Rattus norvegicus: one gene and its partners. The protein of the gene in region 3 interacts with the protein of the main gene of each other region in a pairwise test. Links are inferred from orthologs where the notes say so. Each region holds a gene or a part of one and is shown on either strand. Other genes may lie near its edges. The genes, in order: Usp53, Dppa4 and Crk.

What was found.
Region 1: the proteins of Crk (region 3) and Usp53 interact in binary tests that used the Homo sapiens proteins (3 or more experiments, as listed by UniProt). The two-hybrid records come from large-scale screens. The link is inferred for Rattus norvegicus from reciprocal best matches to the Homo sapiens genes CRK and USP53.
Region 2: the proteins of Crk (region 3) and Dppa4 interact in binary tests that used the Homo sapiens proteins (3 or more experiments, as listed by UniProt). The two-hybrid records come from large-scale screens. The link is inferred for Rattus norvegicus from reciprocal best matches to the Homo sapiens genes CRK and DPPA4.

Annotation. Positions count from the first base shown.
Region 1 is NC_086020.1:213,774,230-213,777,879, reverse strand, and holds part of Usp53 (inactive ubiquitin carboxyl-terminal hydrolase 53), read left to right. Parts: intron 1-529; coding exon 530-679; intron 680-2,500; coding exon 2,501-2,663; intron 2,664-3,119; coding exon 3,120-3,272; intron 3,273-3,650. UniProt on the Homo sapiens protein: Deubiquitinase that mediates 'Lys-63'-linked deubiquitination of tight junction proteins, such as MARVELD2 and LSR, and which is involved in the survival of auditory hair cells and hearing.
Region 2 is NC_086029.1:66,039,450-66,043,199, reverse strand, and holds the start of Dppa4 (developmental pluripotency-associated protein 4), read left to right. Parts: upstream 1-1,445; 5' UTR 1,446-1,514; coding exon 1,515-1,538; intron 1,539-3,730; coding exon 3,731-3,750. UniProt on the Homo sapiens protein: May be involved in the maintenance of active epigenetic status of target genes. May inhibit differentiation of embryonic cells into a primitive ectoderm lineage.
Region 3 is NC_086028.1:61,038,787-61,042,436, forward strand, and holds part of Crk (adapter molecule crk), read left to right. Parts: intron 1-852; coding exon 853-1,388; intron 1,389-3,650. UniProt on the Homo sapiens protein: Involved in cell branching and adhesion mediated by BCAR1-CRK-RAPGEF1 signaling and activation of RAP1.

The DNA of each region.
Region 1 (3,650 bases), on a different chromosome or scaffold from region 3:
AATGACTTCCAATCATAAACTAACACATCTCATGCCCTCTCACCCTAGAGTGATGATTGGTGACAATGTTAGTTACCATAAATACTAATCTAGAAAGGGTTTAAGGTTTAAAATCAATCTGTGTATTGATCTCCCTGATACATGTGTGCTTTTTAAAATTGATCCTTTCTAAATTTACTTTGTTATTGTTACAATTAAAAAGAATTATACTTTAAGTGATATTTTAATGTTTCTTCAAATGTGCTATCTAATCAAGAATATATAATTCATCTTACATTTGGAGTATAAGTAAAGTGTCAATTTTGTGTTGCTAGAGAAACTTACTGCACTAATACATGGTGAATCCAATTTGTGGAGCTTAGAGGTTCTGTAGACTAAAAGTGCTCTGTGACAGTTCTGTATCAGTGGCACCTTCAGTAATAATGTTGGATCAAAGCCAGTCTGTAGGTGAAATATTTTCATATAATGTAGATGCATGATTCGTAATTTAAAGAGACAATAGTAAATATACATTAATATTTTTAAATAGCTTTTTTACAGGGTTACTGATGAAAATGCCGTAGACAGTGAACTGCACCTTGTTGGTATGATCTGTTACACCAGCCGACACTACTGTGCCTTTGCGTTTCACACCAAGAGCTCCAAGTGGGTGTTTTTTGATGATGCACTTGTGAAGGAGGTAAGTAAGACCTGTGCTGACTGCAGTAACCATTGGGACTTCCACACGACAGACGTACATAACAATATATACGGTACTGGCATAATTGTTAAGAGTAATGGATTAAAGGATAAGCTACCTATTGCAATTTTTTAAATTTTAGTTTATTTTAAAACTTAAGTTTTAATCTAGTCCAGTTTTAGAGTAATGAGTTTGGGGGTAGGGATAGAATGAGGCACTGTTTTTCCAGTTTTGTGTATATAATAAGGAATTGGGTATATGTTCTTTTGATAAATTATTTGTTTGCTTTTTGAAACAGTGTCTCACATTATAAACCATTCTAACCTAGAATTAATATGTAGCTAAAATAGCCTTAAACTCACAGCAGTCCTCCTATCTCAGCATCTTATGTGTGGAATTGTAGGTGTAACACATTGTACCTGGCTTGTTAAAAATTATCTGTTATTTGTTTGATATGTATGCTGTAGTGTGCCTGTGCGTGTCTGTACATACACATGTATGTGTGTGTGTGTGTGTGTGTGTGTGTGTGTGTGTGTGTGTGTGTGTATGTGCGCACCCGCGCGCGAGTGTGCGCATGTGCGGCTCACCCTGCAGGGGAAGTCAGGACAGTTTACATGAACTGATGCTCTCCTCCCACCATGAAGGTTTCCTGATGAGAACTGGGTTGTCAGCTTGTCACGGGTGCTTTTGCCCAGCAGTTCACTGCTGACTCGGTGCTTGTCTTTGAATAAACTGTGGCTGGACTCTAGAATTCTTCCTTACCTAGTAGATGCCCAAGGATCTGAGGTTTTAAAAAAGAGTTCTAAAACAGATTTAGACCTGAGAAAGTTGAAAGCAATTGATCTTGTGAGCACTTCTCAAAGTTCACTAGCTTTGGAAATTTTATTAATAAACTGTTAAACTGGTTTTAAAATTAGAAATCCATAGGTTTTACAAGCACGTGGTATGGAACTTTATGTACTTTCTTCATAACACATAACAAAGGCCATTTGTCAACTCTGATTGTTTTCATAGACATTTCTTAGATAGCATTCACTGAACATCTTTTAGGCCATAAAAAATGAATACTGATAAATTGGGGTCATCAAAATTTAATAAAACTTTTGCCCTTTAGTAAGACGTTCTTAGAATAAAATGACAAGCTGGAGGCTGGAAGAGAGTATTTGTCTGACATATGTAATAGAGCCAGTATCCAGAATGCATGTCTTAGGTTGACTTGTTTTTAGTATAGGGGATTGAAGCTTACAGCGCTATATATCCTAAGCAAGTGGTCTCTGCCACTGAACTTTAGCCCCAGCTCTGTATTCAAAATATTAAAATATAAAATTTTACAGCTCTACAATAACAAGATGACCAATTTTTCTTTAACAAATGAATAAGACTTTGCTAAAGTATACAAATGTTTTCTGTTACATTCTATTTATCCTCAGCTGTTGAGAAATACACAGAGTTCATGGCGGGATCCCAGTACTTACTCAGTGTATTGACTAAACTCAAAAAGAATTACTAAAACCATAATTAGCAAGGATAATGAAACTGAGGAATTGAGCAGCCACTTGAGAAAACAGCCTGTGTTTGTTTTTAATTTGAGGGAGGGAGGAAGGGAGGGAGGGAGGGAGGGAGGGGGAGAGAGAGAGAGAGAGAGAGAGAGAGAGAGAGTGTGTGTGTGTGTGTGTGTGTGTGTGTGTGTACAGGAGGGAAGGTTTTAGAGCAAGGATTCTGTAATGTACTTTGAAATGTAAATTAATTCAGTTTCTGCCTATTAATATTACAGACGTCAGGAATGGTTTATGTTTCTTTACTGTGATTTTGCTTTTAAAGATCGGAACCAGATGGAAAGATGTGGTCTCCAAGTGCATCCGATGCCACTTACAGCCACTTTTGCTGTTTTATGCAAACCCAGATGGTACAGCAGTCTCTACTGAGGACGCACTCAAGCAGGTTGTCCACTGGTCACATTACAAATCTGTTGAAGAAAATATGGGTAATTCCTTTTAAAAAGTAATTTTTGATATTTTTCATTTATTACAATTAGCTACTGAATGTAAGAGGAATGTGGAGAATATTTTAAAATTGAGTTTTAGCCAATTGAAATCCAGGATAATTTTACTATGTTTTGTTGATCTTTTCAAAGAAACCTTTCCCTCCCAGTAGCCTCAGAAGGCTGTTAGGAATTCCCCAGTATGGTCAATGTGGTGCACCCAGAGCACAGAAGAAGCTATAGGGAACTCTTTCTGTCAGTGAATTCTGAGATGGTAAATGTTTAGTAACCAGAAAAGTCTGAAGCAGCAAAACACAGCGAATAAAGCCCTGAGTGACGTCACCCCTAGGATATTAACTTATTTTGTCTGGGGTATTAAAAATGTCTGAACAATGACTTAAATATCTTTTCTTCTAATGAGAAAGAAAGAAATAATGTGTTTTTAACTGTCTTTTCAAGGATGTGAAAAGCCTATCATTTATAAACCAGATAATTTGAAGGAAAATGGATTTGGTGGTCAGATAAAGCAGAAAGAAAATCACAAATTTCAAGGTGATAACATTTCCTCCTTTAATCGGAGCCAAGTGCAGACAAGTGGAAGGAGAGCACCAGGTATGTTTTTACTCTGTCCGGTGTGCAGGGTGTGTGAACAGCTGAGCAACCTGTAACTCCTGGTAAGAACTGAACAGAAAGGCTAAACTGCCTTCCTCTGCCCGTGAAGAGACAAGGCTAGGTAGATTTGTGTCTTTTTGTGAATGTGTTTCTCAGTTAGGATTCCACTGACCTGTTTGAGATTGTCTGTGCAGTGGAACAAGACAGCATGAGTTCACACGAGTTTTGTAAACTTCGGCCAGCTTTTCATTATTCTAGGCTTTATATCTTACACGAGTTGGATATAGTTACGGTGCCCACCTCGGAGACCTCCATAAGTCAGAATACTTAGAGCACAGCAGTTCCCATCCTTTTTCTTACACATGCGTTAGGGACTGT
Region 2 (3,750 bases), on a different chromosome or scaffold from region 3:
GATCGGTTTGGTTTTTGATTGTTTGTTTTTGTGGGAGATGGTGGTGCTGAGGGCATCCTCTGACATCATAATAGAGAGTCAAGCTTAATGTTCACTTACTGGGCAAGCAAGTTACCAGTATAGTTTCCCACAAATCATCATCATTTGCAAAACAGTGACTGAATTTTACTGCCAGAATTCACTACATATTCAGTAGACTTTAAAAACTTTTTATTGGGAAAAAAAAAAAAAAAGTCTGCTGGCAGTACATGCCTTTAGTCCCAGCTCTCTAGAGGCAGAGGCGAGAGGATCTATGTGAATTCAAAGCCAGCCTGGTCCAGGTCCAGGATAGCAGGCTACACAGAGAAACCAACTAGCACCAACAAAACCTTTTAACAGTTGGCAGATAGAAAGTTAAGGTTTGAAGCCAGGCTTGGTGGCCAGAGTTCCAATCCTGAGGAGGCTAGAAGATCAGAAACTCAAGCCCAGGCCCAGCGTGAGGGGGCACACCTTGAATCTTAGCAGTCAGGAGTCAGAGACAGGAAAATCTCAGAGTGCTCTGGGTCCCTAGGGACTTCTATTATGGAGAACTTAAAAAAAAAAAAAAAAAAAAAAAAAAGGAGGGTTGGATGGGGAGGATTTACAAAAGTTGTAATTTTGTGGGCTGGGATTGTAGCTCAGTGGTAGACTGATTAGTATGCAGAAACAAAGTCCTGCGAGAGCCCAAAACCACAGAAACAATACAACCCCCCTGTGGTCTTATAGTAAAAGAATTCTGGAGTCACAAGAAATGGGTTGTTTTCATTCCTGTCCAGGTTGCTAATTCCATTAGGTAAATTTGCAATCTGCTTATACAGCTTGTTCAGAATTCTCTAGGAACTTCACTTTCCCTTAGCAATATTTAGAGGTTCCTTCCTTCCTTCCTTCCTCCCTCGATCCCTCCCCCCCTCCCTCCTTTCCTATTTTTTTTTTTTTTTTTTTTGGTTCTTTTTTTTTTCGGAGCTGGGTTTTGTTTTTTTTTAAAGACAGAATCCCACCATGTAGGCCAGGCTGGCCAGAAAACTCAGAGAGATCCACCTGCCTCTGCCTCTCGAATGCTGGGATTAAAGGCATTCGCCACCACGCCCAGCAATAGTTACAGTTTAAAATTTCCCAGATTTACAGTTGCCAGGAGTAGGGCGTGGCAGCTCGCTCCTTTAAATCTCTGTATTCCCGAGTCCCAGACAGTACAATAAACATAGGTATATAAAGCATTTCAGGCCAGGCAACCCTGCCTCCAAAAAGAAAAAGAAAAAAAGAAATTCAGAGGAAAAAAGCAAAAATAATCAAACCACACAATAGCGGCTTTATTAAAATTAGCCACAAACCAGACTTTAGCATCACAATTTTGTTGGGGGTGGGACCAGGAGGGGAGGGGAACGGAAGAGGGCCTCAAGACAACAGGAAGTAGGAGGAGACTTTTAAAAGCCGAAGGAGGCCATAGGTCATTTGGAAGCTAGGAGAACTTTCTTTCGGAGGTCTCATCTAAATTCAAGATGGAGCCGTCTGGAAGCAAGAAGGTGAGACCTGTTTTTACAAGTCGGCTTTCCAAACTAGTCAGTCTAGGGCCTCTTTTTTGGAGTATACCCAGCCTTGTTTGGGGAAGAAAAGAAGGAGCGTTACAATTTGTTACACTTTAATTTTTTTTTTTTAAGGTAGGTAGGTGTGTGGCTCCGCCCGCCCTCTCTGACGTGGCCTTGCACGAGGCCCGCGGGCCTGGTTGTAGATGTGTTAGGAGAGGAGGTTGTGATTTGCCAGAAAGGAATTTAGAATGCGGTAGCTGGAGGGAAATGGTCACAGGATAAAACAGGATATGAACCGAGCCTCGGAAGGAACTGGAGTCCCCAATGGCCGGGAGAAGACCTGAGGGCTTAACTCAGAAATGCCTGTTACCTGGCTTCTAGGCCTTTTGTTTATATCCAAAGGTCCTCAGAGTTGAGGAGGTTTGAGAAGACAGACCTGACTGACAGGCTCTGCTGGTTCCTAACTAACTGTAGTAGCCAGAATCCTGAGCACTTTCCAGGGCTCCTTCCAGCCGTTTCCAGCTTTCTCTAGTGTACAAATTTTGTTAGGTCCAAAAGTGAGTAGTTTATAAAGAGGCGAATATAAGTCTTATTGTCCTTCTGAAGCTAGTTCCTGTTGTGATATAAAAAAGTACCGAGGTGTCTAGTAACAGGCAAATGTTAATTTGTCACTTACTCCCACTCTTGCGGGGGCGGGGGGTGGGAAGGTGGGGGTTGGAAAAGATCTGGGTTTTCCAGCGAAGTGACCTAGTGTTTTTACTTATTTATTTAATGAGTTTTTGTTTTGTTTTGTTTTGTTTTTTGTTTTTTGGGAGACAGGATTTCTCTGTAGCCCTGGGTGGCCTGGGACTTGTCCTGTGAACCGGGCTGGTTTTCCTCCCCAATGCCACCTCTCCTGGCTTTTTTGTTTGATTTTGTTTCTTTCTGAAACAAGGTTTCTCTGTAGCCCTGGCTGTCCTGTAAGTCACTCTTGTAGACCACGCTGGCCTCGAACTCGGATAAAGGCATGTGCCATGACCACCCAGCTTAATAAGCTTTAAACTTTTGGTCCTGAAAATACAGTAGTAGTTAGGAAATTATATAAAGGGAAGGAGTGTGTTTAGTCTTGTATCTTCTAGAAGAGGCCTAATACTTGTTAGGTTTTTTTGCCTGTTTGTTTTTTCTGTGCTTAGGGATCGTTTCTAGTTTTGTTGTTGTTGCTTTTGTTTTGTTTTTGTAATCTCTGTTCCCTTAATTAAGCAGAATATTTATTATCCATTGCCCGCAATAAAAGGGGAAGGGGCTCCACTCTTGTGGAGTTTAAAATCAGATGGAATCAATTGACAAGTGGAAATGAGGTAATATGTGGTAGATTTTATAGAGATTTGGCAAAATAACCTTTGAATTAAGACTTGGATGGGAGTCAGGTATAAGAACTGAAGAAGAGATCGGTCGGTGTTAACATGTCACCAGGCTGTTGTCACAATTGGAAAGTGTCCCTAGGCCATGTCTGAGAGGCTCTGAAGGGAAGTCAGCCATGGAAGTGGTACAATGTCTTTGGTACATCACCCTGGCTACAAAGTCTTTGGGTGAGCCTAGAACCAAGGACTGGGGGAAAATATTTGGGATATGAGAAGATAGAGTAAGGTTTTCTTCCCCAAAGAGGGAACTACTCTTGGGTAGTTTTCATTATCTTCTGTTGCTTTGTTCATAGCTATTTCATTTGTTTTATCCTGTAGCCAAAGGTTGGCCCTTGGTGACCCCCACCCCCCCACACCTGCATTCACTGCCTAGGTGCTAAGATTACAGCTACTGCAATGTTTTTCTTCCTTCCTTTAAGATAGTCCCACAGTGGGTGGGTCTAAGAAGAAGACTGGGGTACTTCTGTGTTCCAGGACAGCCAGGGAGGCTATGTAGAGAAAAACCCTACAAGCCTGGGCTGGCCTGGCCCTGATTTTAGCCACTACTAGGGTTACAGTCATGTGGCGCTAAGCCTGCTTTTCGTTTTGACTCCCTCTCTTTCCCTGACCATTGCTTCCCTACTTTATAACTCAGGTTGGTTATTCAAATGATGTCCCATGAGAATGCACACTGGTAAACACGTGCGCTGACCTCCTGGGGACCTTAGATATGAGTTAGTTTAGAGCAAGTGAAGGGCTATGCTGTCTCAGGACATCAGGCAACTCTGTAACCCACTCCCCTGTCCACAGGGGCGTGCAGAGGAGCCAAG
Region 3 (3,650 bases):
CTAAGCAGGAGCGCTTGCTGTTCTTGCAGAGGACCTGAGTTCAGTTCCTTGCACCCACATGGCAGCACACAAAACAATCTATAATTCAAATCTCGGAATCTGATGCCATCTTCCAAGTTGTACGTTTTAGTGATTGTAATCTGTGTACTTAGAGTATCTTTGAAGCTTTTCTTTTGCTGCAGCAGTTGGAGGGACCCAGTAAAAAAGGAGAGTTTGAGGCCAGGCCCACATGCCTTTAATCCCAGTACTTGAGAGGCAGCAACAGGTGGATCTCTGATCTGTGTGAGCCTGGTCTTCAAAGTGAGTTCCAGGCCAGCCAAGGCTAACCAGGGGGTTAGGATAGGGAGCTTGCTGTGTTTCCTGAGGCTGCAGGGCTGTATTTGGTTACTTTCTTTCTAGGGTAGCATCAGAACATGGTGTTGGAGAGTCAAGAAGTGCCTGTGTCACACTCTTTGCAAGCCAAGTGGCCGGGTCCATCATGGCCTTCTCCTATCTCCTCCCCATGGTGATGGGCATCTTGCTTTCCAGGGGATGCTCATTTTACTGTATGTGTATGGGTGTTTTGTCTGTGTGGATGCCTGTGCATCATGTGGGTCATGTGCTGGGAGGGGAGGAATGGGCATTAGATCCTTTGGACTGGGGTTACAGCAGCTGTGAGCCAGTTGGGTCCTCTGTAAGAGGATGCTCAATTTTAAAGGGCGATACCCATTTGGACTGTGAAGAAAGTTTTATTTTTTCAGTATACTTTTTTTTTTTTTTTTTTGTGGTCAGATATTGACTAAATATGTATGAGAAATGCATGAAGTCAACTTCAGTATATCTTCAAATGACACTCTGCTCTGTTTTTTCCAGGAGTGAGTCCCTCCAGGCTCCGAATAGGAGATCAAGAATTTGATTCATTGCCTGCTTTACTGGAATTCTACAAAATACACTATTTGGACACTACAACACTGATAGAACCAGTTTCCAGATCAAGGCAGGGTAGTGGAGTGATTCTCAGGCAGGAGGAGGCAGAGTATGTGCGGGCCCTCTTTGACTTTAATGGGAATGATGAAGAAGATCTTCCCTTTAAGAAAGGAGACATCCTGAGAATCCGGGATAAGCCTGAAGAGCAGTGGTGGAATGCAGAGGACAGCGAAGGAAAGAGGGGGATGATTCCTGTCCCTTACGTGGAGAAGTATAGACCCGCCTCCGCCTCAGTATCGGCTCTGATTGGAGGTAACCAGGAGGGTTCCCACCCACAGCCACTGGGTGGGCCGGAGCCTGGGCCCTATGCCCAACCCAGCGTCAACACTCCGCTCCCTAACCTCCAGAATGGGCCCATTTATGCCAGGGTTATCCAGAAGCGAGTCCCTAATGCCTACGACAAGACAGCCTTGGCTTTGGAGGTACATAATGTGCAAAATGTAGAAAGACGAGATCTGCTACAGGGTCTCCCTTTCAGACCTCTTCCGGCTTTGTAGGAATGCTGATACAGCGCCAGCTTTGTGATGTTGTAGATGTCAAACCATTAAGTACTGACTTTGGCATTTTATGTGGGTTTTCTCTTTTTTAGAGAAAACCTATTTTGCAATGAGTAAATTTAAAACTGTGTAACTGAATGTTCTGATTGATCTACTAAACCTTTGACTAATAACCACCTGATTAGGAATTAACTTGAAGTAATTTTTCTCATCTATATTCCTAACTTCTTTCTTGCTGTTTGCTACTGTCTAAAACAAAATGGGTCCGCCCACAGTAGAGTGTAGTAAGTGGGATGTAGCAGTATACTTAAGTGGGAGTTTTTCATAGGGTTTCCTTTCTGCTTTTTTGAGAGTGGGTGTTTTTATGTAGCTCTGGCTGTCCTGCAATTCACTTTGTAGATCAAGCTGGCCTCAAAGTCACAGAGATCTGCCTGCTTCTGCTTCCTGAGTGCTGGGATGAAAGGTGTGTGCCACCATGCTCAGTCAAAAACTGACTTTATTTTAGTGGATAGTAGATTCCTTACTATTATGTTTGGTATGAATCAAGAAAAGCTGAATGCTAGCCTTCACTAGGCCTTGGTCCCTGCTGTAGGGGACACACACACACACACACACACACACACACACACAAACACACACACACACACACACACACACACACACACACACACACACACACAGAGATATTTGGTGTACAGATGTGAATTTAGCCATAACTAAGAGGGTAAGTTATAAAAAATAGATTTACTTCTCTTTGTTGCTTAGTGTGTTTGAGAAGCCAGTGTTTACAAGAATTATTTTTAACTCAGTCATTCGTGGAAGCCCACTTTGTTATGACCTGGCATTCATTACAGATGTTCTGTGGTTCCTCTTGAGTACTCACAGCTCATCTTCTTACCTGTGTCTTTGCTCCCTCATTACGTGTCAGGAAGAGTAAGTATTCAGGACAAAGGCTGATGCAGAGGTGACCTGCTCTCTCGTATTCCAGAGCCTGCCAACAGACTGGCTTGAGTAGAGAGGGAGCCAGTTCTCATAATTGTGGCCTGAGGTTAGGGGAGCACAGTGGCAGAGGGGAAAGTGCTCTTGTGACTTGGCTCTTCCTTTTCCTTTGGGTTGTGCTCCCACAGTAGGGTAGGAACTGCCTGTAAGTGAGTGGTAGTCCATACAGTGACCTAAGGTGTATTTGAACCAGATTTATTTTTATTTTATGTGATGGGTCTTTTGCCTGCATATGTGTCTGTGTGCCAAATGTCCACAATGGCCAGAAGAGGGCATTGGATGCCTAACAACTGGAGTTATAGACTGCCTTGTGGGTGCTGGCTCTCAAATGCTAGTACTCTGGAAGAGCAGGTCGTGTTCCTAACCACTGAGCAGTCTCACCAGTCCTGAAATTTTTTTCATTTCTAGTCTAATTGAGTTAATTGAGTTTCATAGATTTGATTGAAAACTGCATTATTTATGTGTTTAGATTTTTTTTTTTTTTTTTTTGGAGCTGGGGACCGAACCCAGGGCCTTGCACTTGCTAGGCAAGCGCTCTACCACTGAGCTAAATCCCCAACCGTGTTTAGATTTTTTGAAGCAGGGTCTAACTGTAACTTTGCTGTCTGCCCTGAACTCACTATGTAGACTTGAGCTCACAGAGAGGGTGCTGGGGGTAAAGGCATGTACCACCACACCCAGCTTAAAAAAAACTGTATTTTTCAAATGTTTTGCTTTGTGATATGGGGACTCACTATGTAGCCCAGGCTGTCTTCAAATTCTTGATACTCCTGCAGAAGCCCTCAAGTGTTAGAATTACAGGCTGAAGCTTTGTATTTTTTTGAGATTGTCCTAACTTGTCTTGGCTTTGAGAAGTAAACTGTGTGCTATCTGGGTCACACTGCCTGGCAGATGAAGAAAGCAAGTTTCAGGCTAATGTGGGGTGAGGGGATGATGCCTTTACCTAACAGTGCTATGTACACTGTGGGTGGGCTGTTGACATTGACTGCAGACCTTACTAACAGTGGACTTGGGTGGGACGCAGCATTCCTGGCACAGGTCACTGCACGAGCAGGCGAGGAGAGGAGTCAGTCAGTTCTACCTCAGCTTTGAATTTCTTGGCCAGTTTTTTTTTTTTTTAAAGATTTATTTGACCCGTATAAATGTTTTACCCATTTGTATCGGGTCAGAACTGGAGTTATGGATGGT